Oryzias latipes: one gene and its partners. The protein of the gene in region 1 purifies or fractionates together with the protein of each later gene. This does not show direct contact. Links are inferred from orthologs where the notes say so. Each region holds a gene or a part of one and is shown in the gene's direction. Other genes may lie near its edges. The genes, in order: kpna1, xrn2, usp1, arid2, SWI/SNF-related matrix-associated actin-dependent regulator of chromatin subfamily D member 2, rnmt and nop58.

Evidence for each region.
Region 2: the proteins of kpna1 (region 1) and xrn2 purify together in Homo sapiens (affinity purification with mass spectrometry; 4 studies listed by BioGRID and IntAct, with this or other methods). This does not show direct contact. The link is inferred for Oryzias latipes from reciprocal best matches to the Homo sapiens genes KPNA1 and XRN2.
Region 3: the proteins of kpna1 (region 1) and usp1 purify together in Homo sapiens (co-immunoprecipitation; 6 studies listed by BioGRID and IntAct, with this or other methods). This does not show direct contact. The link is inferred for Oryzias latipes from reciprocal best matches to the Homo sapiens genes KPNA1 and USP1.
Region 4: the proteins of kpna1 (region 1) and arid2 purify together in Homo sapiens (co-immunoprecipitation; 3 studies listed by BioGRID and IntAct, with this or other methods). This does not show direct contact. The link is inferred for Oryzias latipes from reciprocal best matches to the Homo sapiens genes KPNA1 and ARID2.
Region 5: the proteins of kpna1 (region 1) and SWI/SNF-related matrix-associated actin-dependent regulator of chromatin subfamily D member 2 purify together in Homo sapiens (affinity purification with mass spectrometry; 3 studies listed by BioGRID and IntAct, with this or other methods). This does not show direct contact. The link is inferred for Oryzias latipes from reciprocal best matches to the Homo sapiens genes KPNA1 and SMARCD2.
Region 6: the proteins of kpna1 (region 1) and rnmt purify together in Homo sapiens (co-immunoprecipitation; 4 studies listed by BioGRID and IntAct, counting the BioPlex papers as one, with this or other methods). This does not show direct contact. The link is inferred for Oryzias latipes from reciprocal best matches to the Homo sapiens genes KPNA1 and RNMT.
Region 7: the proteins of kpna1 (region 1) and nop58 purify together in Homo sapiens (affinity purification with mass spectrometry; 3 studies listed by BioGRID and IntAct, with this or other methods). This does not show direct contact. The link is inferred for Oryzias latipes from reciprocal best matches to the Homo sapiens genes KPNA1 and NOP58.

The regions. Positions count from the first base shown.
Region 1 is NC_019878.2:17,889,062-17,893,142, reverse strand, and holds the start of kpna1 (importin subunit alpha-5), read left to right. Parts: upstream 1-1,281; 5' UTR 1,282-1,397; intron 1,398-2,015; 5' UTR 2,016-2,023; coding exon 2,024-2,149; intron 2,150-2,415; coding exon 2,416-2,529; intron 2,530-2,630; coding exon 2,631-2,730; intron 2,731-3,002; coding exon 3,003-3,097; intron 3,098-3,211; coding exon 3,212-3,343; intron 3,344-3,460; coding exon 3,461-3,549; intron 3,550-3,647; coding exon 3,648-3,747; intron 3,748-4,081. UniProt on the Homo sapiens protein: Functions in nuclear protein import as an adapter protein for nuclear receptor KPNB1. Binds specifically and directly to substrates containing either a simple or bipartite NLS motif.
Region 2 is NC_019882.2:16,207,589-16,211,088, reverse strand, and holds part of xrn2 (5'-3' exoribonuclease 2), read left to right. Parts: intron 1-222; coding exon 223-330; intron 331-584; coding exon 585-674; intron 675-810; coding exon 811-883; intron 884-1,453; coding exon 1,454-1,537; intron 1,538-2,183; coding exon 2,184-2,281; intron 2,282-2,413; coding exon 2,414-2,493; intron 2,494-2,620; coding exon 2,621-2,677; intron 2,678-2,906; coding exon 2,907-2,975; intron 2,976-3,269; coding exon 3,270-3,398; intron 3,399-3,500. UniProt on the Homo sapiens protein: Possesses 5'->3' exoribonuclease activity. May promote the termination of transcription by RNA polymerase II.
Region 3 is NC_019862.2:16,400,442-16,404,617, reverse strand, and holds the start of usp1 (ubiquitin carboxyl-terminal hydrolase 1), read left to right. Parts: upstream 1-1,376; 5' UTR 1,377-1,508; intron 1,509-1,583; exon of another isoform or gene 1,584-1,940; intron 1,941-1,955; 5' UTR 1,956-2,011; coding exon 2,012-2,178; intron 2,179-3,055; coding exon 3,056-3,191; intron 3,192-4,176. UniProt on the Homo sapiens protein: Negative regulator of DNA damage repair which specifically deubiquitinates monoubiquitinated FANCD2. Also involved in PCNA-mediated translesion synthesis (TLS) by deubiquitinating monoubiquitinated PCNA.
Region 4 is NC_019881.2:4,002,990-4,006,489, forward strand, and holds part of arid2 (AT-rich interactive domain-containing protein 2), read left to right. Parts: intron 1-52; coding exon 53-211; intron 212-3,500. UniProt on the Homo sapiens protein: Involved in transcriptional activation and repression of select genes by chromatin remodeling (alteration of DNA-nucleosome topology). Required for the stability of the SWI/SNF chromatin remodeling complex SWI/SNF-B (PBAF).
Region 5 is NC_019877.2:6,914,882-6,918,381, reverse strand, and holds part of SWI/SNF-related matrix-associated actin-dependent regulator of chromatin subfamily D member 2, read left to right. Parts: intron 1-412; coding exon 413-455; intron 456-554; coding exon 555-677; intron 678-1,774; coding exon 1,775-1,894; intron 1,895-2,476; coding exon 2,477-2,572; intron 2,573-2,668; coding exon 2,669-2,770; intron 2,771-3,500. UniProt on the Homo sapiens protein: Involved in transcriptional activation and repression of select genes by chromatin remodeling (alteration of DNA-nucleosome topology).
Region 6 is NC_019869.2:4,905,986-4,910,051, forward strand, and holds the start of rnmt (mRNA cap guanine-N7 methyltransferase), read left to right. Parts: upstream 1-1,266; 5' UTR 1,267-1,357; exon of another isoform or gene 1,358-1,361; intron 1,362-1,834; 5' UTR 1,835-1,841; coding exon 1,842-1,991; intron 1,992-2,075; coding exon 2,076-2,205; intron 2,206-2,286; coding exon 2,287-2,412; intron 2,413-3,501; coding exon 3,502-3,617; intron 3,618-3,696; coding exon 3,697-3,878; intron 3,879-4,066. UniProt on the Homo sapiens protein: Catalytic subunit of the mRNA-capping methyltransferase RNMT:RAMAC complex that methylates the N7 position of the added guanosine to the 5'-cap structure of mRNAs. Binds RNA containing 5'-terminal GpppC.
Region 7 is NC_019860.2:15,370,027-15,374,051, reverse strand, and holds the end of nop58 (nucleolar protein 58), read left to right. Parts: intron 1-155; coding exon 156-301; intron 302-1,059; exon of another isoform or gene 1,060-1,143; intron 1,144-1,214; coding exon 1,215-1,341; intron 1,342-1,370; exon of another isoform or gene 1,371-1,452; intron 1,453-1,538; coding exon 1,539-1,702; intron 1,703-1,794; coding exon 1,795-1,929; intron 1,930-2,521; coding exon 2,522-2,583; intron 2,584-2,661; coding exon 2,662-2,816; intron 2,817-2,892; coding exon 2,893-3,020; intron 3,021-3,093; coding exon 3,094-3,147; 3' UTR 3,148-3,525; downstream 3,526-4,025. UniProt on the Homo sapiens protein: Required for the biogenesis of box C/D snoRNAs such as U3, U8 and U14 snoRNAs. Part of the small subunit (SSU) processome, first precursor of the small eukaryotic ribosomal subunit.

The DNA.
Region 1 (4,081 bases):
TCAAACATGAACCAGCTCTGAAACTGCTATAGACTCTAAAAACTTGTAACGATGATTTCGGTTTTTCCTTTGGTGTTTAACTGAAAACATTGTCTCAACGGTGGATAACTGGTCTCTTCAGTGGGATCATCATCATCATCAGTTACCAGAACTTGTTGGCGGGCAGCATCCTCGCAGCATCCTCTCTCTGCGCTTGCGGGCAATACTTGCGCGTGTGAGCGCGGTCTCCGGTGGCCCCGCAGATGGGACAGGTGTAGTTTCGGAGGATGGGGCAGGTGACCTTCCTGTCGTCCGACCTGAGCGCGTGCGAGCGGTAGACCTGCCGAGTCTCGCCGTTCTGCTTGCAGAAGCGGCAGTAATCTGCGGGGCTCCCGCCGCAACTGGTGTCCGAGAGGCTGCTGACGGAGCTCGTCTCTGCGGAGCTCTGCGTCTGGATGATGCGCCACGGCGCCGCGGGTTCCTGCTTCGGCTTCTCGGGGTCGACCTGCCGCCGGTTGCACAGCCTTTGCAGGAGTGCGCCCAGGTTCATGTAGTCGTGCCACATGTCAAAGCAGTCCTCGCTGAGGACGTGCGCGCTCTGGACATCCACAGTTGTTTGCACCGAGGCCATTTTTGGAACACAAATTTCGATCAGTTCCAAGTTAGTCTGGAGAGTTTTAAATTTAAATACTTTCAAAATAAAACCTGAAACAATGATTGCAGATGTTTGGGCACTCAAAGGCTTTGTTCTTCAGATTATTTTACAGGTGTATCAATTCGTACTTTTAGGAATAAAAAGGAGGTTAAATTAGGCTAAAAAAACTAATTTAAGAGCTATTTTTGGGATGCAGATTTGAATGTATGCGCCAATTAGGCCATTGTGTTGGTTCTGTCTATTGCTTAGCTTAATTTTTTTATGTCATGATCCTAATTTCTTTTTCCTTTGTTGAGAAGTATCACTTTTAACATCTGTTAATCTTTTGCAGCCCAAACATTTAAGGCCACTTCATCATTTGGATGGACACGGTGTCCACCTCGGGTCATTTAAAGACCACAGGCGCCGGATCGTCTAGTCAGGGCCACTTCAAAAACATTTAAAAACACACCTGCACGCGGGCAGGTGTTGCACACACGACCCCTCCTTGAAGTTTGAAAGCACGATTTCAGCCATTGATTGAACTGCGATACCCACATACCGACTGTGCTTCAAAAAGAAACTCCATCATTAGAGTTTGTGTCCATTTTTTTTGAAAACCGCACAACTATTCACTTGTTTACCAGGGCCAGCTCCTTGTGTGGGTGGAGCCAAAGGAGCGTCACTGAATACGTTTATTTGACGCATGCGTAGTGGCATACCGGCGACGGCAGCAGAAGCAGTGGCTTAGCGATTTAGGGGATTATAAAACCTAAACTGACAGGTATGTATAATGTATCTACACATTGTTGTTCTATACTTTTACCGCTTTTAGATTACGAATAAATGATTTTAGTATGTGTGTTTAAAAGTTTGGTGACAAATAAGCTGTTAAAAGGCATGTGTTACTCGGGGTTTTCAGCTAAGCTAACGTCAAGCTAGCTCGTTAGCAGCAGAGGCTAGCAAGAGCTGTGACATCAACAAGCTAATCATGTGGGAAATTAAGTAAATAAGCATTTTTTACTATAGACTGTTTGATGTCTTGATTTCTAATGAGAACCCATATCTCTCTATAAATAGAAAGAAAAGTCATTTGTTCCACAGTAATGATTTTGGTATTGGGCAAACATGCCGAAAGCTAGCAAACTATAAAGCTAACTGCTACAAGCCCTTCTGACAATCTTGAGTAATATGTTCGAGACGTCTGAAAACGACCTGCATTCTTGGTTTTGCTATACATTGCGGTGATTGTCATGAAAACCTGAAGAAATACACAGAAGAATGTAAAAGAAAATACAGACATTACAATACATCTACAACATGTGGGTTTTCCAGGATCTGTAACACTAAAGTTCTGCACCACCGGGACTACTAACGAGACTAAAATTCTTCATTTTCTCAGGCTACAAAATGAGTCAGGGGAAGGATAATGCACGACTGAAGAGCTACAAGAACAAGTCTCTCAACACAGATGAGATGAGAAGAAGGAGGGAAGAGGAAGGCCTGCAGCTCAGAAAACAGAAGAAGGACGAACAAGTAAGTAAAGTGTAAACTTTATATTCATCCATCAAACACAATAATTTAGTGTGTTTTCCTAGCTTTTTTCCCCCCTCATAAATTGCTTAGGTTTTTACAATATGGAATTGTGTTACTTCCATATAAGACAAGTAGAAGATATACAAACTGGTAACAGCAGTTATTTTTGTTATGCTGCTTCTTACCTAGTCAAAGTACATATAATAATAAAACCAAAAGATGCTGTACTATTTCTTTGTACAACTTTAAGGACTGTGTCTTTGCAGCTATTTAAAAGAAGAAATGTTGCCACTGTGGAGGATGATGGTGCCCTGGAGGATGATGGAATGGCAGATAGTGGTTATCTGGAATCCCAGGCTAACAACATGGACCCATTTGGGGTGAGAATTAGCTCAATAAAACCTTTTTTATGGTGTTGTTTGTTGCATCTTTCACAATAAATTTGACTGATCTGTTATTGTTTTTACTATGTTCTGCAAAGGGTGGGGTCATTTCTGAGGACATGATTCAGATGATTTTCTCCAGCACTCCAGAGCAGCAGCTAATAGGCACACAACGCTTTAGAAAACTCCTTTCTAAAGGTAAAGGTCTAGCTGAATGCCAGCCTGTTCTATATCGCATAGAGCGATGAACAAATGCATCAACACATTCTACTGTTTAACTAGAGCTAAACAGCCTTGTAAGTTATCTAGAACTAGAAACAATCTTGATCATGTTCAAATTCAATTTGCTGCATCATCTTCATTTCTTTCATTTTTTTTTAATATTACAAAAATAACGAAAGACTGTTCTGATTTGATTTATTTTTAATTTTTAATTAAATAAAAATTGTCTCAATTTTTGTCTCCAACAGAGCCCAATCCACCTATTGATGAGGTCATTGCCACTTCAGGGGTGGTGGAGCGTTTTGTTGAGTTCCTAAAAAGAAGAGAAAATTGCACATTGCAGGTAAAGTGGTTTAATGCCTGAACAAATGCAGCTAGTCTAGTAATCATGAGCTATAGTGTTTTAGATGGAGTTTTTTTTGTCTGTCCTGACATAAATTGGTCGTGTTTTTCTTAGTTTGAAGCTGCGTGGGTTTTGACCAACATTGCTTCAGGCACATCCCACCAGACTAGGGTCGTAATCCAGGCAGGAGCTGTTCCCATATTCATAGAGATGCTCGCCTCGGATTTTGAAGATGTGCAAGAACAGGTGAGGGACATTTTTGTTGTCAATATTTATCTCTTTTCATATTCTTATTTTCAAATTATTACATATTTCGTAAATTCGTTTTTTTATGTCTAACTTGAATTATTTCCTCTTCTGTAGGCAGTGTGGGCTTTGGGTAATATAGCAGGTGATAGCACAGAATGCAGAGACTTTGTCATAGACTGCAATATTCTACCATCCCTGATCCAGTAAGTAGCAGATTATTGTTAAACAGCTCTATGGTTCTCGTTTCACGTGAGATAAATATGAACAAGTCCATGTTTGAACATCGAACTCCTTTTTTCAGATTATTGGCTAAACAGAATCGTTTAACAATGATGAGGAATGCAGTTTGGGCACTGTCTAACCTGTGCAGAGGCAAAAATCCTCCTCCTGACTTCTCCAAGGTAATTTCTCAAGATGATACTTAACATGTCTCTCATTCCCAAAGAACAAGTTAAGTTAAAAACCATTGTTGGTAATTATTTACCGACCCTCCAGGACTTTCAGATGTTGGAATTGCACACTTGCAACTTTTTCTTGACATTGCAACTTTACCCAATCTCTGTAACTTGGAAAAAGTTTTACTTGTAAAACCCTTTCTGCCAATCAAGTTTAGAGGCTCAAACATGTACATCATCAGTCTAACCAATCAAAGGTGCCAACATGGCTGGTAAAATCTCTGTTCCCTCCACAAATCCCAGCTAAAGATTGTTTTTAGCGGCGCAGCCAGCTCCCAGC
Region 2 (3,500 bases), on another chromosome or scaffold:
AAAATAAATGTTATGCATTGTTGCAACTTTAAATAAATGCTTCACTATTAGGCTTTTTTTTAGAAGTTTGACTCTAATATGAACAAAAAGTTAGGTTTGAGGAATATCCTTTATAATGAAACAAAATCATCTTTTAAGTTTCTGCTTCACACAGTTTTGTTGAACTTGTATGTTTCGGATGCAACTGCTGTCAGTAAAGCTTTGCTGCCTGTGGATTTGCAGGGCTGTGCATCCTGGAAGTGGTACTTCCCATTCCACTACGCTCCGTTTGCCTCTGACTTCAAAGACATCAAAGAAATGTTCACGGAATTTGAGAAGGACACCATGCCGGTAAGAAAGCACTCAATCATTCAGATTTTTATGTGGCTGATCCTAACGGGCTTCTCCTGAGTTCTTTTTGTGAGTTCATTGCATTCAGTGCATTTTGTTGAGAAAATGATGAAATTAGATCATAATCAACAATTTTATTATTTTACAGGTTCACGTTTTAGATAATTATTAGACTGATCGTTATGTTATGTGGATGACTAACTCAAACATGTCTGAACACTAAAATTCTCACATAAATTTGTTGTTGTGCTCAGTTCAAACCTCTGGAGCAGCTAATGAGTGTGTTTCCTGCTGCCAGTGGGAACTTCCTGCCACCAACGTGGAGAAACCTCATGGTCAGCCCGGTGAGTTTAGGAAAACTGAAGACAATTTAGGGAACTTCTGACAAGTCTTTAATTTAAAACCACAAAAAAAGACTTTTCCATCTTTTTTTTTTACCTTCATCATTTTCAAATGGTCTTCTACTGTTGTCCTTCACAGGAGTCTTCCATCATTGATTTTTACCCTGACGATTTTGCCATTGACCTCAATGGTAAAAAATACGCTTGGCAAGGTAAGCCTTACCTAGAAATGGGAAGCTAGCCTTTGTAGCTATTATCCTGCACAAAATAAACATTTATTAACATGTTTCTGTGAATTTGTATTGCTAGGAAGACGTGATACCACTGATTCATGTCAATGATTGAAATTGTTATATATGAATACATAGTTTGGGTCTGCTAAAACTTCTAGCAGAATTAAGAATATTATTTTTTTTGAAGACATTTAATTTTAGCGTTTTTTTTAAATAAACACTAATTGGGACTTAATATGCGAAGCATGAGTGCACCACATAGTAATAGACAAACACTCCCTCCAGGTCTTTACTTTTTTTGTGCATGTCGATTGGAATTTAGACATATTATGTCATCAGTTGCGCTGGGACCAAACATCACATATATTGCACATGTTTTACTTGAATGTTGAGTCGACATTGGGAATCCTGAGCATTTTTTGATGGCAGGCTTAAAGTTGAAAATGCTGCAAAGTGCTTTTTCTGTTTTAATTTAAACCAAAAAAGGCTCAAGTAGCTTCAGAACTTATTTGTTTTGGTTGAATGTTAAAGTATGATTTGTTCTCAAAGGTGTTGCTTTGCTGCCTTTTGTGGATGAACGGCGTTTGAGAGCTGCTCTGGCAGAAGTCTACCCTGACCTCACGCCTGAGGAAGGTGAGCAAAAGTCTTTCAGTACAAAGGGTTTTAAACTACAAGTAGTTTGGAGATCAAGTGTTAGAAACATATCTGTGTGCTGTATTTGTAACCGCTTTTTTTCCCACCATTCTTAACTTTTCTTACATTAATTCTTCCATATTGTCTTATTAGGTTAGTAATTTAAATAAGATTAAAAATTGATTTTGTGTATGGTGTTTGCTATGCTTTTATTTCATCCATGTTTTATGGTGAGTTATTCACTATAACGTTTGTTTTTAATCCGCAAATGTTTCTTTGTTCCCTTATAACTTTTTTTTTTGCCTTTTTCCGTTAAAGACGGAAGAATGTCCACTTGGATTATTTCATCAAGAAGATTTTTTTTCCTTGATCATTTATGACTAGTTTTTCTTTTTTAATATATATTTGCAGACATTTGCATATATTTGTATATATTTGCTGTTTTTCCTCAAAATTTATCAAATCATTTAGAATTTTCCTAAATCAATTGAATTTACATATATTTTTACGTATTGTGTGCTTTTTTCTCTCTCTCTGTACTTTTTTGCCTTCATTATCTAAACGAATTCTGTTAGAGCTGCAGTGTGTTTTTAAATTCTGCTTACAGTATTTTCCCCCTGAAAAGTTTCCACGTTCTTTGTTGCAGCGAGGAGAAACAGTCTGGGCAGCGATGTGTTGTTTGTTGGAAAGAGTCACCCGCTGTATGACTTCATCCATGAACTCTACCGGGATGAATGTAACAAGGTACGAGGCTCCAGGAGGATAAATCCAGTTTAAGATACTTATAGCATGGTCCTAATTTGTACAATCAGTTATTAAAAGCTGTAGCAATTATGTCTTTTTTAGTTTTTAATCTGCTATGTTTGTTTCTGCCAGGGCACAGTGGTTCCACCAGAGCTGTGCTTTGGAATCCAAGGGTTATTAAATCTTGATAACAACCCTGTTCTACCAGACAAGTAAGGAAAATCTGTTTCCTCCTGATTTTTGTTTGTTCATGTCTTAAAAAATTTACTTTAATGTCTCGCAAGAGCTGCTGAAGCCAGATGACCATGGCGGTCATTTAATCGTATCTTTTTCTTTCAGGCCAGTGAAGTCCCCTATCCCTACATTGCGGGACATTTCACAAAGTACTGCAGTCAGGTATGTTCTCAATATAAAATGTATAAAGAATGCACAAAGTTTGAATGGTTTTGATAAACAACAGAATTAAAAGAACAAATGTCCTTCTTTGCACATTTTTTTTTACTAAAGCTTTTAGTTTTATAAGGCAACAACACAATTTAGAAGATATGCAAACTGTTGACTTTATTATTTATGGACTTTGAACTCTCGAAAAATGGTTTTATTGAGTTAAAACATATTTTTCTAGTGTGAAGTTCAAGGACCCTGAATTTGCAGTTGGATATGTGTTCAAAGCAGTTCTACTCCCTGGAGCCAAGTGAGAATTTTTTATTATTATTATTAATATTTTAGGTGCTTTGCTGAAACTGAAATTCTATGTTTACTTTAAATTAATATACATTGCCTCATACTTCTTAATCTTTTTTGTGACATAGTAAATCATACAAATTATAAACGATTATTTAGTCCATTATACCACAGTTTTTGCTGCAGCTTTACATTTAGAAGCACTGCAGTACCACTTAAAGGAAACATTGGTTTATTTTGTGGACCACATTCTGTGGGACTGCAGAATTTATTTACTTTTTTTTTGCTGTGAATATTTTTTAAGGATTCCCACTAAAGTCTTGAAGCCAGGAGACTGGGAAAGGGGGAACAGGGGACCATGGAGACCCCAGCTGGGATTCAACCCCAACAGACAACAGGCTCACCTGGACCAGTCTGGCTTCAGAGCTCTTGGGTACATTTCAATATTAACCCTCACTAACTGTAGATATTTTGACTCTTTAAAAAAACTGAAGCAGGTAAAAAAAATATTTTTTTCTTTTGCAAATAGTGATTC
Region 3 (4,176 bases), on another chromosome or scaffold:
TACCTACAAACTTAATCCAAATGTAGGTTTTTAATCAAAAACAAATGCTTGGCTGAACCAGATCTAAAAGTGGAATGCCCCACTAAAGTGAAAAATGTACTGCTTGTCAATCTGGTGCAAGAGACCGAGAAGAAACCCCCATTCTGAGGCTTAAACCGATGAATATCTTTGCTTGCAGTCCCACAGGAAGTGTCGCACCTTTAAAGTATTCCCATCTATTACTGTGTTAGCATCCTCGCCGCAACATCACTGGAATGCCAAGCAAAGGAAGCAAAGAGGTTCCTGGATGTACATGCACAGTGCATCGATACATCTTTGCAGCTGACCAAGCAGCCACTCTGCAGCCGCAGCAGCAGCAGCAGCTGCAGCAGCAGCGGGTCGTCCAGCGCACATACCGCCGCACTGACACATGCATCAGGGCTAAACGCAGGGATGCAGCGACGCACCTGTCGTTCACCATTTTTGTGCAGCATGCAAGAGCTCCAACCTAGTAATTAAAAAAAGGGGGGGAGGGGGGGGGACGCCAGCCACAACACTCCGTAGCCAGGTTAACGTAAACGTAGTGCAACTGATATCCAGCGGAAAGGAACGGCAAAACAGATCGGAATTGGCAGCGAACAAATAAAACTAACGTCGGTTTGTACGTCAAATCCCAAAACAAAAAAAAAAATGGAATCGCTTCTTACCATTAAAATAGTGGAGGAATAGTGTGCTGACTGTCAGATGAGGAGATGGTCCAGTGGAAGATGGTGATGATGATGCTGGACAGTTCATCTCGCCTTTTCTTGGATAAATGTCGCCTCCTTTAGGTTGTAAATGGGAATGAATGCAGGTCGAAATTAATCGCGGGAAAAGCACAGTTAAGTTTTTTTAAAGAGCAGTTTAATTTTCGAAACAACAGTTCCGTTAAGAGGTAAAACGTCGAAGTTTTTGGATCCTTGCTTGAACTGTTGTTCCTCATTATGTCAAAGCCCACTACGAAATTATTCTGGCCTTTGCTATATATCAAATAAAACTTTCTATCCATACATTTCAAAAACTAAATTTTAATAAATTTTTAATTTTTTTTCCAATTTTAAGTGAACTTTCAAAAAGCGTTTGCAACAAGAACCCAATGTTAAGCCACTAAATAATTGACTACAAAAATGGCGTTAACGATTGGCCATACTGAACATGTCTTACTTAGGTGTCCTAAAATTAGCCTGTTGTTTTACAACTTCGTCTGTTAGGTGATTTGAACGTTAAATATTTAAATTCATTTTTTGGAATGTAAATATATGATACAATTAAAAAAAACAAGTCTTTCATATAAAGATGATTGTTATTTGTTTAAAATTGTTGCAGGAATTCGACTGGCGGCGTAATGGCTTACAAGTCTTCAAGCAGGAAAAAGCGCCAACTTGTGTTGCGCCGTCAGAGTAGTCAAACACCCATGTTAAGCGAAAAAGAGAACAAATGTGTTCAACTGGGGTGCTATATTATACATAAAGCTGGAATGGCTGGCTTAGGTAAGATTTTAAAATGTATTTACGCCGTAAAAACGGAATGGCTAAAAGAAAAAGGCGTTCGGTCTGTTTACTCACATCAGTTCTTCTACCGCGCCAACCTCATGTTGAGTTTAAGTGTTCGATCACAACTGTTAGTTTAGTGTGGTTTGGTTTCGTTTGTTTTAAACATTAAAATGCCATTTTAAAAAACAGTTTCGAATTAAGAATGAATGAATTCAGATTCATTATTAGGTTGGTGCTAACCGTTTGTTTGTTTGTTTAACAAAGTTTAACCGTTGGCTTGCTTTGAGCTGCAGAACTAAAACTATCTGTAAAGATAAAATCGAACCATTCTGCTTGTAGTTACATAACTCCACCATAAACTGATTTGCGTAGCTACGTTCGTTCTTGTTGAACTCTGATGGCGCCCGCGAAATTGAAACCTTACAATTTCCATTTTTTGGCCAGTGGGGGTCGCTGTTGCAGCTGAGTAGAAAACGATCACTGGGAATCCGGCTGTGAAGATGCCAGGCCTGCAGGGAGATAATGTGGCCACGCAGGGGAGCCCCGTAAAGAGGAGTAAACTTTCCCTGAAGTTTTTTCAGAAGAAAGAAACCAAACGGGCTCTGGACTTCTCTGAAGCTCAGACAGAAGAGCCCAAAACGACAGAATCAGAAGAACCTGAGGGAAGGTGAGTCTTTGATGTCACTTTAAACAATCATAATTCTTCCAGATCATTAGCCACTGGTTACACGTGGAGACCATTTTGCTTAAAAATTATATTTTGTCTGTGTATGACAAGTTTGCTGTGTGCAGTATTTATGGAAAAAAAAAACTCTACCAATTCAGAGGCCTGAAATAAATAATAATGATAATGCAGTTTTAAACACACAAGCCTTTTTAAAAATGTAAGAAGGTTTTTTATACATACAATTTCATATTAGTTACAAGGATCCCTGCCAAAAATACTAAATAGATTTGCTTATGTCTCCAGAGTTCATGATGTCTTTCTTGACTGATTATTTTTTTCTGAATTTCATTCAAAGTCAATGTGGTGAGAATACAAAAACAATTATGTAAAACTGATGGTTTAAGTGCACAAGCATGGAATCTTCATGAAAAAAAACTCTAGGTATGTCCTGAATTTAAATATCCTTTGACAGAGCAGCAGCTTTGCGTGGGTAATGTTTGTGATTTGAGGCGCTTCATGCCAAATAACGGTCTGTCAAAATAATGGACAGACATCCTCATCCAATCAATCAGTGATGTCCCATAATATCAACATTTCCAGTGTCTTTTTTGTGTTATGTTTATTAACATTTTGATTCCTGAAAATAACTTCCGTTTTCTGAAATGTTTTATTTTGTTTTTTTGTAATACTATTTTTTGTTCTTCTTCTTTCCTTTCCCTTTTTTCTGCTGATTCTGACACAGAGAAAAGCTTTTCAACAATCGTATTTTTGTTGTGTAAAATCCCATCTTCCTCATGAAGAGGTGTTTTTTATCGTGAAGGTACAGGTCATGTCTCAAAGACTACACTAGTTTGATACATGATCTTTCTGTCTTCAGCAGTGAACAAGTGGTGTATGGTCCACTTCCGGCTTCACCCAGCAACCCATTGCCACGTGAGAAGAAGGAGAACTTGTTGCCCTTTGTTGGGCTCAATAACCTCGGCAACACTTGCTATTTGAACAGTGTGTTACAGGTAAGCTAGCATCCACATTGGACCGTCACAACACGTGCTATGCTGCTGGGAACTTTAGTGTCAGAAGGTGGTTTGCGACATTAGGACAAAGCTCAGATGGAGAGTGATGGCTACTAAAATCAGTGATGAAAGTCTTCCGGGAATTCCCGGAAATCCGGGTTTTTGAGCAAACCGAACGTACTTTCCGGGAAATAAAGACCTGATCTCTACGGACAAATCGCTTTCCGGATTAAAAAATGGTCTGAAATCAGCTAATTTTAGCTTTATTTTCTATATTTCTCCGCAGATCGCTTCCTCTATGGTCGTGGCCATCTCTCGTCTTCCCGGCCTAATTGACCAATGACGGGACGTTTTAGTTGCTTTCGGATGCGTCGACGGGTCTGATTGGCTCTGTCTGCACCACGTGGTCAGCGTGACTCGCTTCCCTAGAGACCAAAACTGGCGGACCCACGCTAAATTTTCACAAACACATCTGAAGAGTTTGCGATCAAATTTGTGTTAAAATAATGGCAGGCATCGTCATTATTGAGCGTGGTCACGACCTCAGTTGTGAGAAGACGATAAAAAACAAATTGAAGTGGTCTTGGCTGGAAAAAAAAGATTTTACGGTAGTGTAGGTCAAATACTTTTTTGTGTAAAATAATCTCAAAACCACATTTTGAAATAATTTCAATTTTAGTTTTGAGTTTCAGTTTTTATTTTGAATACATTTCTCTAATTTATTAGTATTTCCTAATTACCATGATTTAGTTCAGTATAGTTGACATTAATTATAAGTATTTGATGGTTTGGACCCGCACTCCCTTAAAAAATAATGTTTACAATGTTTAGCTTAGTTTGTATGTTTGTTTTGATATTTCCCAGATTACTTAGTATTGGTGTTAAAGAATTGATGTATTATGTTATAGAATTATAGTTTAAAGCAGATCCCATATTTTGATGTAATTATAGTTTGAGAAAACAGTGCAAGTGGATGTTGTACATC
Region 4 (3,500 bases), on another chromosome or scaffold:
AGCAGCAGAAGCAGACTGGTCCGTTTGTCAACGTCTCGTTTCATTCGCCCAGACCTCCTGGTGCGGCTAGTGTCCGTGGACCTGCACACGTTCGGACCCGACGCGTTGACGGCGGTGCGTTTAATCGAGCATCAGGCGAATGCTGAGCAGGTGTCGGAGGTGCGGCCACAGCTGGTGGAGCAGGTCCCCGCATCGGCGCCGGCAGCAGCAGGTGAGCACTTTGGCGTTTCAGAAACACGCCATTTTCCCCCCTTGGGGCTCCCTGGGGGCGGATTCAGGGGCAAACGCCTCTGTACATCTGGACTGTTTGGGTTTTATGTTTGTAAAGATGCAGTGTTTGCTCAAAAACAGTTTTGTTGTTGTTGTGAGAGCTGTAAGCCAGTGGGAGAGAGTGTAAACAAAGAGATGATGGGAAATAAGCCGAGGCTTACTTCCGTGCCAGTGGACCCGTCCACAATTCAGAGGTTAAAATCTAATGAATTCTTCCGCGGATGGTTTCCAGGTATCTGTTGTAGCCACTCCTCCAGCTTGGGGGTTACTGCCCTGAGTGCTCCAATTACCACAGGCACCACTGTCACCTTCACTTTCCATGCTTTCTCCAGTTCTTCTCTGAGTCCCTGGTATTTCTCCAGTTTCTCATGTTCCTTCTTCCTGATGTTCCCATCACTTGGCACTGCCACATCCACCACAACGGCTTTCCTCTGTTTTTTGTCCACCGCTACAATGTCTGTTGGTTCGCCATTACCATCCTACCAGTCTGGATCTGGAAGTCCCACAGGATCTTTGCCCTCTCATTCAAAATTGCTGTAAACGGGAGGAAAATGGAATAATTCAAGTTAGGGCTGAAACGATTCCTCGAGTTATTCGAGTTACTCGATTACAAAAATTCCTCGAGGCAAAAACTCTGCCTCGAAGCCTCGTTAAATTCCCATGACGCGCACTATTCGCGCGGCGCAGGGATTTCATTTGACCGTTTATTCTCACGGACCTTTTGAATTTAGTTGGCGCGATGGCGGAGAATAGATCTATAAATCTTCTTCCACTTTCGGCTTCTCCCATCTGGGGTCGCCACAGCGAACGAGTCGCATGATAGATTTGGCAATGTTTTACGCCGGATGCCCTTCCTGACGCAACCTTCTCAAACCGGGCTTGGAACCGGCAGAGGTAGAGAAGGGAACAGGGAGCAGCCCGGAGTCGAACCGTGGTTTCACGGATGGAAGGCGCCGCAAACCAGCACGAGTTAAACCGGCTCCCCAGGAGAATAGATCTATAAATAAACGGCAGAAATAGAGCTGGCATACCCGCGCGTGCCGCCAGCAGCGAGCGAGAAGCGGCGTCAGCCGCTCCGCGGCGACCAGCGCGGGCCGCGGAGGGGGCGCTGAGAGGCAGGGGCTGGGACAGGCGGTAGCTCGCCTTTCGGTGGACCGCGAGGCTTCTTTAAGTATTGCAAAAATAACAAAAGCATTATTTTTACACGAAACATAAACAATGATAATGATCAAATATGTTTTTCTGATTCTTTTATTTCTAATGGCCTTCCATTTTGGTGTTGTGCCACCCTTTCAAAGTCTTCTGTCCCCCCCCCATACAAAATGTTCTAGCTCCGCCACTTCTCAAGACCAACTTAAAAACACCAAAAGTAACATTTGCATCATAGCGGATCTTTAAAATCAAATGCTTGTTCATTTTACAACCACATCATTTTTGTTATGCAAGATTTGTTTTGGTTGTTCAAAAACACACACAAATCGTTTTATCCGATTACTCGATTAATCGATCGATTAAGTGCTAGATCAGGGGTCACCAACCTTTTCGAGACTGAGGGCTATTTCATGGGCACTAAGTGGTATGAAGGGCGCCACAGGACCTGTTTACTAAATACCTCCTAGCCCCCCCCCCCCCCCCCAACCTCAACCTATTCTCTAAATCTTTGCATTACATGAATCATAAGAATGCCCAGACATTGTGTAGTTTATTTGATCTATTTAAACTTTTGTAATAGACCCTTATTTTTATTTTTTTAAGTCATATTAATAATATCAATAATAATCCATTTTATTTAAAGCGCCTTTCAAGGAACCCAAGGACCCTTTACAAAACAAAGGTTAAGGTTATTTTTGTTTTCGTATTTGTTTTTTTGTTTACCTTTATCTCAGAGTTGATATTGGTGTCATTGACAGACATCCCATGATTGATTGTTGAATATTTGCTTCAATTAAAAAAAAATTTTTTTGGTGCATTTCCTGCGGGCGCCACAAGGGGTGCTCGGGGGCGCATGGGCGCACGCGGGCACAGGGTTGGTGACCCCTGTGCTAGATTAATTGATTACAAAAAGAATCGATAGCTGCAGCCCTAATTCAAGTACTTCGAAGACCGATTGGAAATAACTTTTTTTAAAACAAAGCCAGAGCTATAAAGCTATAAATCAGATATATAATTCTGTGAATACATTCTTATGTCCCTGTTAATAATAAATGACACCATTTAGTCCAAATGTGGTGTAAACAAAAATAAAAGTAGCTAAGCGCTTTCATTCAAGTTATTTAAGACGTTAACTGCTTTCAGATTAAATTACCAAAGATAAAAAACATGAACCTAAAGTCCATCTGAAAGTAAAGCTTTTTGAGATGTGATGTATGGTTTATAAGTTGATGTTTTTCTCAGCATGTTCAGGAGTGAGTGAACGTCTCTGGGCACTAATATCTCCTGCAGTGGAAAAACTTTAGTCCTGGGAATTCACAAATGTGCCACTTTGGAGAGCAGAGGGAACACATGCTGTAGAGATTGCTGCTCTGGTTGACACAGCAGTGGTTGAAACGTCTTCATTCAGATTTCTGCCTGGCGTTCCTCCATCGATCCGTTCTGTGCCCCCGCAGCTCCTCTTCCTCCTCTCCTGCGCTCAGCGTTCGCACAAATCCAGGGAACCACGCTTCCAAATGTCCTGCATAGCGATCTTTCATCACGGCACGGGAACCTCCTCCTGGACGTCTTTGGGTTTCTGGACTTTAGTGCAGCGTTTTCTTCTCCTGCTGTTGGATCTCATGCTGGGTTGTGTTGTAAACATGAGCTGTGTTCCTGAGAGGGGAAGACACGCCTTCTTTCACACACTTGTCTGCCAACATACAGTTTTTTTGCTCTGCGCTGTGGTCTTTGTGAAGCTGGAGCCGCGGGTTTGAGTCTCAGATGCTGCAAAACTGCATCAAAACGGAAACGTTCTGTTGAAATCCTTTAATAGGATTTGCGTTTACATGTGGATTATTACAGTTTAAGTCCTTTGATTTATTGTAAAAGCCTTCCCAGTGCTCTTTTTAATTATTATCCATTAAAGCGGGGCTATCAGAATGGAGCGGAGCAGGGAGTTTGTAGCTCTGTCACCAAGAGAATCTTTTTCAAACAATTTCTTTTGGTCTGCTCCTGATTTACAATAATTTCAATAAAGAGATGCTCAGAAAAGCAGTTGTTCATTTAATTTTCTTGATATGTTGTTCTTCATCATCAGA
Region 5 (3,500 bases), on another chromosome or scaffold:
GTTCGGTGACGCCACATTTCTAAATGTTACAATGAATCTGTTGTGCTGCCGTGTTTATTTTCTAACGACATTCTCAGAATTGGAGGAAAATAAGCTGCAGTTCTGGAAGCATCTTCTGAGTTTATAATGACGATCAACTGTGTCCTTTAGTTGAAGACAGACTAGCTCTTGTGCGTTTTTATGAGTTCAGCTGCGGTGAGGAACTACAAGTCCCTCAGAAGAGGACATGTAGGCCAAGACTTTGTTATCCAACTGTGAAGCTGTCCACAAATGAGCTCTAATCGAATCTTTTTGGACTTGATCTTGAATCATGTGTCAGCGTGTCTTTTTTCCTCATGAAAACATGAAAAGTTTGAGGCTTTCTGAGTCCTTTTCTAATCTAAACGTTGATCCTTCTCTCTGTGCGGTTTAGAGCCAAAAGACGCAAAATGGCCGACAAGGTTTTGCCACAGAGGGTACGTTAACACCAACGGCCCCCCCCCCCAGAAAGAATTCAATTTATTTCCTGCTTTTGGATGTTTTGAATCACGACTTTTTACGTTTGGTTCTTTCAGATCCGAGACCTCGTCCCCGAGTCCCAGGCTTACATGGACCTCCTGGCTTTTGAAAGGAAACTGGATCAAACCATCGCTCGCAAGCGCATGGAGATTCAGGAGGCCATCAAGAAGCCCATTATGGTATGTTTCTACAACCATTTTAGGAAAAAACAAGATGTGGAGGGTTCTGACACTTTTAGTAGAACAATTTTTTTTGTCGTTTTCTTCTTTAACTTTAAGTAGAGTGGTCCCTCGCTGCTAACCTTTCAGAGTTTCGCTGTTTTCAGGATTGATTTAGCGCAATTTTTTTCTTCTTTTTTTTTGCAGTTTGTGTTCTGTGCTCTGATTGGCTGCAGACCAATGTCAATCAGTCTCCTCCACGCTATGCAGAATGCGTTCAGCTCGCAAAGATGATCTTTGTTTCCATTCTATAACACTGGGCTTATTTTATATGAAGATTTGAACTTTGAGAGTTTAAACAACAGAGAAAGCTGTGAAAATGTTCATAAACGTCTAAGAAAAGTGTTTAAATAGGGTAGTTAGGGGTTAAAACATCTATAATAATTGTTGAAAATTTGCAGATTTCTTCTGTTGCTATTAGAGCATAACTGCTGCGATAAACGGAGGAAGACTGCACCGATTGAGTGATTTGATGTTTCTTAGTGAGATCACAGATGATCGATTTGGTATTAACAGGCATACTAGTTGGACGTGATCAGTCTTTATGTCTTTTGCATTGTGAGCAGGTGCTGAAGCAAACCTGTCCCTGTTCAGATCCGCCTTTAGACGGATGAAACCAGGTTTGACGCAAAACATTTGATATTTGAGCAGCTTCACTTATTCATCTGACAAAGTCGGATAAATGCAGCAAAGATGTGTGGAGAATCGAGGCCGAAGAGTTTTTGTTGGCTAAAGAAGTGAAATGTTTTGCAGTGTCTCAAGTGCCTGATTGCAACATTATCAAATGGTATTTTAGGTTTTGAAAATTAAAACCAGACAAATCCACAAACAGTCAAGAAACTGTTGTGACTGATTTCAGAAACGCAAAGCAGAAAATGTTTCGAAGCTCCCTGCGAGTCTGAACAAGAGGCTCCAAACGTCAAAGACACCAAAAGCCCAGATCTTCCGATGGATCTGATAAACGCCAAACGTTTTGGATGGATAGGTGGAAGAAAGACAAAACCCTGAAGCTCTTGAATGAATCTAAATCAGCTTTTTGCTTCTTTTTTATGATGCAGCAAAAGCGCAAGCTGAGGATCTACATTTCCAACACTTTCACTCCAAGCAAGCCCGAGGGCGAGGAGTCGGAGAAGGTGTCCTCCTGGGAGCTGAGAGTGGAAGGCAAACTCCTGGAGGAAGTGAGAGACTCGTGTTCTTTTGCTCTTTGGCCATTATTTGAGCGGTCCGGTCTCTGCTCGCGTTTCTGAAAGCGTCAGTTGGCCCGCATCCTTGGCGCAGACCTCGCGGCCAGATGTGCGTTTACAGCTTTCCTCATCCCACCCCACAACTGCCTCCATACGCCGGAGTTCATGCTTTCTGCCGGCTTGAAACCATCGCCCTTTTGCATTCCTCCAACCGAAACACCCCCTCCCTCCTAAAATTGAGCTCGCTCTGTCAGCCGTGGCCCCCCAGTTTTTTTGTTTTTGCTCCTAATGTTCCCCCCCTCTTGCTCGCTGGTCCAGGCATGTGTAGGAGCACGGCGTGGACTGACAGCCAAAAGAGAACGGATGGCAGAGGAGAAATGAAAGGGGGCCACGCTGAGCAAACAGATTTGACGGAGGGGAAGGGGGGGGCGGGCGGGTTGCAACAGCCTTTTCTACTCAACAGTTTGGTTCCTCTTCCCTGATGCGGTCAGAGCCCAACAATGCAGCTGCAGACTGACACCGCGGAGCTCAGGAACGCTCGGCAGTCACGCAGTGCTGTGTTTCATGTGTTTGCAGCCCGGCAAGCAGAAGAGGAAGTTCTCATCTTTCTTCAAAAGCCTGGTGATCGAGCTGGACAAGGAGCTCTACGGGCCGGACAATCACTTAGTGGAGGTAACGTTTTAAGGACGTTAACACCACACTCTTCTTTTCTTTTGTTGACTTTTCTGATTTGTATTCCTAATTAGATTGGATATTTTTCCCTTTCAGTGGCACAGAATGCCCACCACCCAGGAGACGGATGGTTTCCAGGTCAAAAGGCCCGGCGACGTCAACGTTAAATGCACTCTTCTGCTCATGCTTGACCATCAGGTGGCCCTTCATGTTTGCAATTCACTTTAAAGCCCCACTCTATCTGTATTTCCATCATTCCAAGCGGTTTTTGCAAAATACCTGTCGATTTTTAAGACGTAGTTTCTGCAGCTCAGGACGAGTGACTGTTGATATCCCAGCATTCCTTTGTTTATACTTTCTCCCGCTAGATTACAGCTCCTCGCAACACCAAGCTAACATTAGTGTAGCAAAAAAAAAAAAAAGACTGTGAGCAATATTGTAGTTATCCAGCTTTACAGCTAGTTGTTATCTATTCCTGATTCATCAGAAATTCTTTAAAAAATGTCCTCCATTCTGAGAAAAATCCAACAAAACATGATTTTCATCTGATCCGATAAAAAGTCTCCAAAGACCCACTCAGATGAAAATCGAATTTTCTTTTTTTAACACATTCTTGTGGCATTTTTCTCGTGATGGAGCACATATGTAAAGAGAGTTCAAATTAAAAAAGACATCTCTGAGTATTTCTTTATTCAAATGGTTTTGACTCAGGAGTAGACACAAGATGCAGTTTGAAAAAGATGGTGTTTGTGACGTAGAAAACACGCTGGGCGGGGCCACAAGCTCCAGGCTCTGCTCCATTCCCATGAGGCCGCGTGCAGACGGTCAGCGGGAGAGCGTGTAAACAGACGACTGTTAGCGGAAGCAGGGCTGCTCCGCGCTAACAGAGCCACAACTCAAAGGCAAAGAACTCCTGCCGCTCTGCAGA
Region 6 (4,066 bases), on another chromosome or scaffold:
CAAACCAAACAGACAAATAAAAGGCAAACCTGAAGAATGAAATTTTGTCTAAAATTTCCTTTAAACTAAATTTTTTTTTTACACACCAATAAAAAATAAAAATGAGCACAGTAAAACAAACAACACCGTCAAATTACTCAGTTACATATTAGATGTAATTTAAACTAGGGCAGCAAGTTACTGATGTACAAATGATGAAAGTGTAGGCTTTATGGTGGATGGAAAAATAAAAACAAATAAATAATGGAAATATATATACAAACAAAAAGAATATGATCAAACAAAATCTCAGTAAAATAGCAATTATGCTTCTGAATAATCTTTTTGATTACTTTGATTACTTACTTTAGGATTACTTGAGGAAAGTAACATGGTTTTTAAATCCTTGAATCTGTTGATATGCCCACACATTTTAAAGCCATACATTATAACTTAAAAACTAACGGTAGGCTATTATTCACTTGGATAACCAAATAATTAATCCACCATAAATAAGAACACTGCCACAATCTATCAAAAATATTTCAAGATTCTTGTTGTTTTGAGTTGTGTTTGTCCCAGCTGTGCCAGAGTTGCTGTTTCCTTAATTTGTTTGTGTTTTCATTCCATTTTCTCTAGCGCCACCTTTTCATTTTTGTAACATAATCTCTGACTGATGTTTCACCCTGACTTGATTTGTAAGTAGAATACAGATAAGCTATTACGAAACAAAGGAAAAATGGACATGTCCGTTTTTTAGAACAAACTCTGCCGTTATAATTTTTTGTTTGTTTTGTTGTGCTGTGGCTCCATATAAAGTATATTGATATTGTTTTTAGTCCATTTGGCATTCACAATTTTACTGAATAAGTTGATTATAAAGAAAAATTATTTTTTAAAACAGTAGAATAAAGAAAGAAAAATTAAAAGAGGAAGAAGAAGGAAAAAAAAGCTCAAAATGTTTTATTCATACCTCAAAATGGAAAAAAAGTACGGCCTAAGTTCATTTTATTAAAAAAAAATCGCAATAAAATTATATTAAGGGTTTAAATTGTATGCATAACAAGGGGTCAAGTCTACTATTGGACATATTCAAAAAATGAAATTGTGTCTAGGACCTCTTTTTACAAACATGTGAAAGTGTGAGTATTAGTGAGGATTATTTCATTTATTCATGTCAGCATTTTGCCATCTTACTTCTTTTATTTTTATTTTTTAACCTCAGTTATGTGTACTTGTTACATAGACATACGTTTGCAAATAAGGTTAAAAAATTAAAAAAAGAAGAAGAAAACAAAGTAGCCGGATAGGACGCAGGATTATGACGTAATCACAACCGGAAGTTGTCTTTCGTAAAGCGTCCTGTCTGCAGAGTGCTGTAAGTACGTACTTATCTTAAGCTCAAATATAGCTAAACGCCAAATAATACGTTCAATTTGAGACATTTTAGCTTTTGGACTTAGGTTGATGTAAAAAAAAAGAATTTTAACAAATGTTGCCGCTAACTGTATTTAAAAGAAAACAGCCCATAAGCTAACGTTAGCCGCTCACTTCCTAGTAGTACGTAACGATCACACAATGTTTTGTTTTCCCCTCATTCCTCGTTTTAGGTTACTCATTAGAAAACTTTAAAATTCAGTTGCTGCTAGCATTATAGCTACGCTCGATAATCTAAAAAGCTACGTCACTTATTAGGTTTTTGCCAAATCTGCACTTTGAAAAAATAAACTACTACTAATAAGAGCTTCTCTTTTTTGAAAACGCCCTATCTAACTGCAGTTTGGACCCATTTATGGGACAGTAATATCGTTGAAAAAAAATTGCAGAGACAAAGGATCTTCTTCTGTACTTATAGGATAAGGATGTCTGAACAAACAGAGACGACAAAGCAGGAGAATGAACAACAAGAAGGCAATGAAGGGAATCTTAGTGGGGAGGTAGTTCAGAAGGAAGTGGTGAAGAAGAGAGTCAGAGAAGATGAAGGTGATGATGAGTCACCCACCAAAAAACAGGTACAATTCTCCTCAGTTTCATTCAGCAGATCTGCATATGATGGAGCGATTGGCATTTGAATATAACAGGACGGTGTTCTTCAGGTTTCTGATCACGGTGTTAAGGTGGCGAGCCACTACAATAAGCTGCAGGAAGTTGGTCTGGCAGCTCGAAGTCGCAGCAGAATCTTCTTCATGAGAAACTTCAACAACTGGCTGAAGAGTGTCCTGATTGGTAACGATGATGACAGAGTGCTGAAGGTTTTTGGCTAAGACAATGTTTGCAAACAGGAATTGTTATTATTTTTGACGACAGGTGAGATTTTAGAGAAGGTGCGGAAGGCGGGGAACAGCCGGGTGTGTGTGCTGGATCTTGGTTGTGGAAAAGGTGGAGACTTATTGAAGTGGAGAAGAGGAGGAATCGATCACCTCGTCTGTGCAGGTAATCAGTTATGACTGACAAACTTTTTGGGATTTAGATTCAAATAGAGGTGTAACTATTCATTTTTATCAACGATTTGATTCACGTCATTATTTTTGGTCGACGATCCAATTCACCGTTGATTCTGGTTCCTTTTGAACGATCAGATTCACTCACTTAAAATCAATCCAGGACATCTTTAGCCAAAACTTCAACCAGTGTAAAAATTACCTGGATACTGAACAGTGACGTTTTCCAGACTCCTCGTATTTCTTGCAAGATAATTAAGTCTAAATGAAATATGTGTCCAAACAAACAAGTAAACAAGAATGAATGTCAAATCCATTTTAGTTTCCTAAAGTTCAGCCCATTATTGTTTTTCCACATTCAAACAATCCAAAGTGAACATTCTTAGAACATTCTAGCACACTGGATGGTCACATGTCTTTGCTAAAGTGTTTCCACACATTGGACTGGAATGATGGTCGATCAGTTTTTGCTGACCTTTGCTGACCTCTAAAGTCCCACTCCGATCATCTTTTGATCTCTTTTCAAAGCGTTCCCGGTGGCCTTTGCATTATTTCGCTTTTAACCTAAAAATCCAAAAACCTGTGTCGTTTTCAAGGACATAGTTCCTGCAGAGCGTCAGGAGTTCATTAGAGATTCAGTTGTGGGCAGGACCGTTGCCACAGAGCAACCCCGCCCCCTCTCCCTCTCCCTGTCGCTGAGAACTGTGAAGCTGGTAGCTTTTTGTCCGACCATTGTGTGTTTTCTAAGTCACAAATAAGCTCTTTTTCAAACTGTATTGTTTGTCTCCTGATTTATAGCTGTTTGAATAAAGAAAACACTCAGAAATGTAATTTTGAGCTCAATCTTCTTTATATATGTCCTTTATGATCAGAAAAATGTCACTGGAACATCTTAAATACAAAAAAATACACAATTTTCTCCGGAGTGGGTCTTTAAAGTGGGAACAACCAAGACAGAAAAAGACCACTTTTGTCATGTTCTCTTTTAAAATACTTAATTTCAAACTAAATCACGCTTTTGACGCTTTTACTTTACGTTGATCCATTTTGAAGACGGTTTTATGCTTTTCTGGTTCTCCAGACATAGCAGCCGTGTCTGTGGAGCAGTGCCAGAGCCGATACGATGAGATGAAAAGGAAAAGTTACTCCAACGAGAAAATCTTCAGCGCTCAGTTCATCACTGCCGACTGCTCAAAGGTACGACCTGCAAACCAAAGAGCATGCATGTCTCTGCTGTTCTACCCACAATCCCTTTCTCCTGATCCCTTTGTCCCAGGAGTCTTTGCCAGAGAAGCTGGACGACGCCGAGCTGATGTTCGACATCTGCAGCTGTCAGTTTGTGTATCACTACTCCTTCGAGAGCGAGCAGAAGGCCGACATGATGCTGAGGAACGCCTGTGAGCGTCTGAAGCCCGGAGGCTTCTTCATTGGAACGACGCCAGATGCCTATGAACTGGTGTAAGGAAAACATCCGTCTCTTTAGCACAACGCTGCTCCCTGCTGGTTTCCCACTTACAGGACACACTTTCCAGTCTCGTCCCTTCAAGTGTAGAGTTATGAATAATTGAATGAACGGTTTGTCATGTTGGCACCTCTTGGTTTGTTTGTCTCATCCCAATAATGGGCTGTAATCTTTGTCAGGCAAA
Region 7 (4,025 bases), on another chromosome or scaffold:
GCAACTGTTGCAGATGTTTTCAGTGATTCTCTTTATCACAGAATCCAGTGTTGAGACAGACAATTTAAACGTTTCTCTTTTTAAAAACAAAAAGAAAAGAAAAAACAATCCCTTCATGGTTATTGAAAGCTGACGCTGGTCCCTCCTCTCTGCAGGCGACCGCACAAACGTGGCGACCACCGATCTATCGGAGATCCTTCCAGAAGAGGTGGAGGCAGAGGTCAAGCTGGCCGCTGAAATCTCCATGGGAACAGAAGTGTCGGAGCAGGACATCGCCAACATTCGACATCTCTGCGATCAGGTCTGTTCTCCTTGATGGAACGCATGCTGGTGTCTGTGCTGGGCGCTACGTTGCCGTATTTTTGTTGTAGTTTATTAATTTTGAAATGTTAACAAAATTGCAATCAGCTCTATGTTTTAAAACGTCGGCCAAGGATTTAAGGATAAAGGAAAGAAAAAATATTTGTAGATGGTGGTGCGTCCTCAGATCAAATTTGGTGTGGAAAAGAGCAAAAATATTAGCATTACATGGTAAATTCTAAATAATCAACTTCAACTGCAAATTGTTAAATGAAAATTAAAAACTGAGTCCAGATTGGAACTTATAGTCTCCTAAATTGTTAGGTCTAAATAATCGTTGTAGCTTAATGTTCTCTGCATTCATGTCTCAAAAAGCAAAGAAGTTTTTTTTTTTTTTGTGGAATTGAAGCTTTATTTTGATTAAGCATGACACAGATTATTATTTAAAAATTAACTTAACAAAAAAGCTGAAGTACAAAGTCGAGTCGAACATTTTCCAGTAGCCTGAAGGAGTTTATGCATTCAAGAAGATCTTCGCATGAAAGTTTCTCACAATTCACTAAAATGATTTTTCTGGATAAGCATTGAATGCATCCAAAACTAAACATTTTTGGGTTTTATTGGGCATGTTTTGTCTGCAAATAAATGGAACTACTCTATTGAAAATCTCAAGTAAATTGAATCGGAAACGATCTGTCTGATCCCAAAGAAGAGTCTTTTTGCTGATAGGTCTGACTTCAAAGGTTTGTGGAGTAGCAGTGGCAGTGCTGATGATGTCGACAGTTGTCTTCATCCTGAATATCCCCGTGTGGGTTTTCAGTCACTACCTCATCTGAACTGTCACGTGATGCTCGCCGCGGCGCCAAAGCGTTTGTCTCCTGCGCGACCTTCAAACGGATCTGCTTCCTCCCCAGGTGATCGAGATCTCGGATTACCGCGCACAGCTCTACGATTACCTGAAGAACCGGATGACGGCCATCGCTCCCAACTTGACGGTGATGGTGGGCGAGCTGGTTGGCGCCCGGCTCATCTCGCATGCCGGTAGGTTTTGTGCAGCAGAGAGGGAACAAGGCGGGCAATGATGATGCGGACAAAACGTCGTTTTCCTGAATCTGATGACGGTTTTAAGTCACTACCTCTTCTGAGCTCATATTCTTTAGGCTATTTTCTCCTCAACACCAAGTTCAGATCATATTTGCCACTCTTAATATTTTATTTTTTAACTCTTTCGTGTTCAGGTTCACTTCTGAATCTGGCCAAGCATCCGGCCTCCACGGTGCAGATCCTGGGCGCAGAGAAAGCTCTTTTCAGAGCTCTGAAGACCCGCAAAGATACGCCCAAATATGGTCTCATTTACCACGCCTCCCTAGTGGGACAGACCACTGCCAAGAACAAGGGCAAAGTATGTTCCGGAGAACCGAGGGAGGGATAAATGATGACTGATCACCATCAAGAATAAAAAAAAATTGAACAATCCTTTCACCTCCTCTGCAGATCTCCAGAATGCTCGCTGCAAAAGCGTCGCTGGCTATTCGCTACGACGCTCTGGGAGAAGACACGAACGCCGAAATGGGAATCGAGAACCGAGCCAAGCTGGAGGCCAGACTCCGGCAGCTGGAGGACAGGGGGGTACGTAAAAGATTTCAGGATTTCCTGCCATTTCATTTCTATATTTTAAAAGTTCGAATTTTTTATTATTATTTTATTTTAAGTGGCTGTCCCTTTTTTTTTTTTTTCAAAATGGACGCTTTTCTGCCGGTTTGTCGCCATAGCAATCATTTAATGTTTCGGTCCCCTGGGGCCGCCGAACAGATTGGTGTAATTTTCATCAGAGTCGGCTTAAGTCAATGTTTGGATATTCTTGGAAGCAGATGTTTTTTGTTAGCCACGCCCACATTCCTAATATGTTCATATTGCATGACCTATCGTTTTGCTCACCTTGATCCAGGATTGATCCGTGTATTACATTTTTACAATGTGCCAGTAAAAATTTAAATTAAATGAGCTGCTTTTGCTCGCTCGTCGTGCCAACGCCATTCAAACTCTACAAACTTTATTTATAACTTTATATGCCGTAGAAGGTACCAAAGATGATTAGAATCTAAATTGTGAATTATTGGAATCATGACTTGAATATATATATTTTTTTAAAACGTCTTCTATTTTAACACCATTTTGATGCCATAATCTCAGTTACTTATAACCAAATCTTCCATTTCAGATCCGTAAAATCAGCGGTTCTGGCAAAGCCATGGCGAGGGCTGACAAATACCAACACAAGAGGTTAGGAGCAGAGCACTCCTCTCTGCAGGGATCCTTTACTTCTGCACGTTTGTGCGACATGTGTTGATTTGTTTTCAGCGAGGTGAAAATTTACGATCCATCTGGAGACTCCACCATCCCCTCCACCTCAAAGAAGAGGAAATTCGAGGAGGTGGAGCAGCAGGAGGCTGCAGAGGAGCCCACCACATCGGGGATGAAGTCCAAGAAGCCAAAGAAAGAGCCCCAAGTTCAAGGTGAGCAAGTGATGAAGGGACGCCGCGGGGGGGTTGAGATGTTCACGACGCTCAAGTTTGACCATGTGTGTTCCAGAAGAAACGCCTGAAACTTCAGCCGAACCGGAGACGCCCAAGAAAAAGAAGAAGAAAAAGGACAAGAAAGCAGTGGAGGAACCAGCTGAAGAGCTAAAGGAGGAGGAAGAGGAGGTGGCAGTAATGGAGGTGAGCCTTAGGCCAAACGTTTGTGGGGGCAAAATCTGGAATCCTGTTCTAACTGCTCACATTTACTCTTCAGTCAACAGAGAAAAAGAAGAAGAAGAAGAAAAAGAAGGAGGAAGATGACGAATAAGGAGATGGAGCCAGTGTATATATTTATTTTAGATATGTCTCTAATTTTGTTTTGTTTTTTACCCATAGAAGGTATCATCTGCATTGTTCCATTATACTACAGAATGTTTAATTTTAGACACAACAAAAAGAAAGTTCCTGTTTGTCCGTTCTTTCTTTGACACCATTTTATATTTTTGTCTCTTTGAAAAGGGATTTTAAATCTGTGTCTTAGAGGAAACATTTCCAATGTTGAAAAAAAAAAGGATGGACGAACAAACGTCTTGCTGTAAAGTTAACCTTTCTTTCCAATTATTGATTGAAGTTTATTTTTGGAGCCAGACGAAGCTAAATCTGGACTCAAGATGGACGATTGAATAAAAATTATTACAAACTTGTAGATGTTGTGATTTGCATTCAGTTACAGAAGTCACGTTTAATGCCCACATTCTGTGCTATAGAGCCAATACCATACAATTCTTAAGCCTTTTAGAGTAAAATAAAAAAAAAATCTGTATATGATATTACTTCCCACACAAAAGAACACTTTTTTTTTATAAATATTAGTTATATTCCTGAGCTTGTTTCCAATCAAGAAATTAGAGACAACTTGATCTCTGAAGCCCCGCCTCTCACTCAATGTGGTGACGTCATCCGAGAGTCGAGCTCAGCAACCTGTGTTTCGCCCACAACCAAACTTTTGCAAAGCTTTTTGGCCAAACCCTGCTAGCTCTGTGGAGAAAGTGGACGGCAGAGCCACAGTGCATGCGGGTAATCATCCAGGGTGTTATTACAAAACCCACAAGTGTCTGATTCTCTTTGGCCCATCATGAACATCCTTGGTCTTGTGTAAGTGAGTCCTATGAAGAGTTTTAAACAGATTAAGCTGCAGGTTAGGAC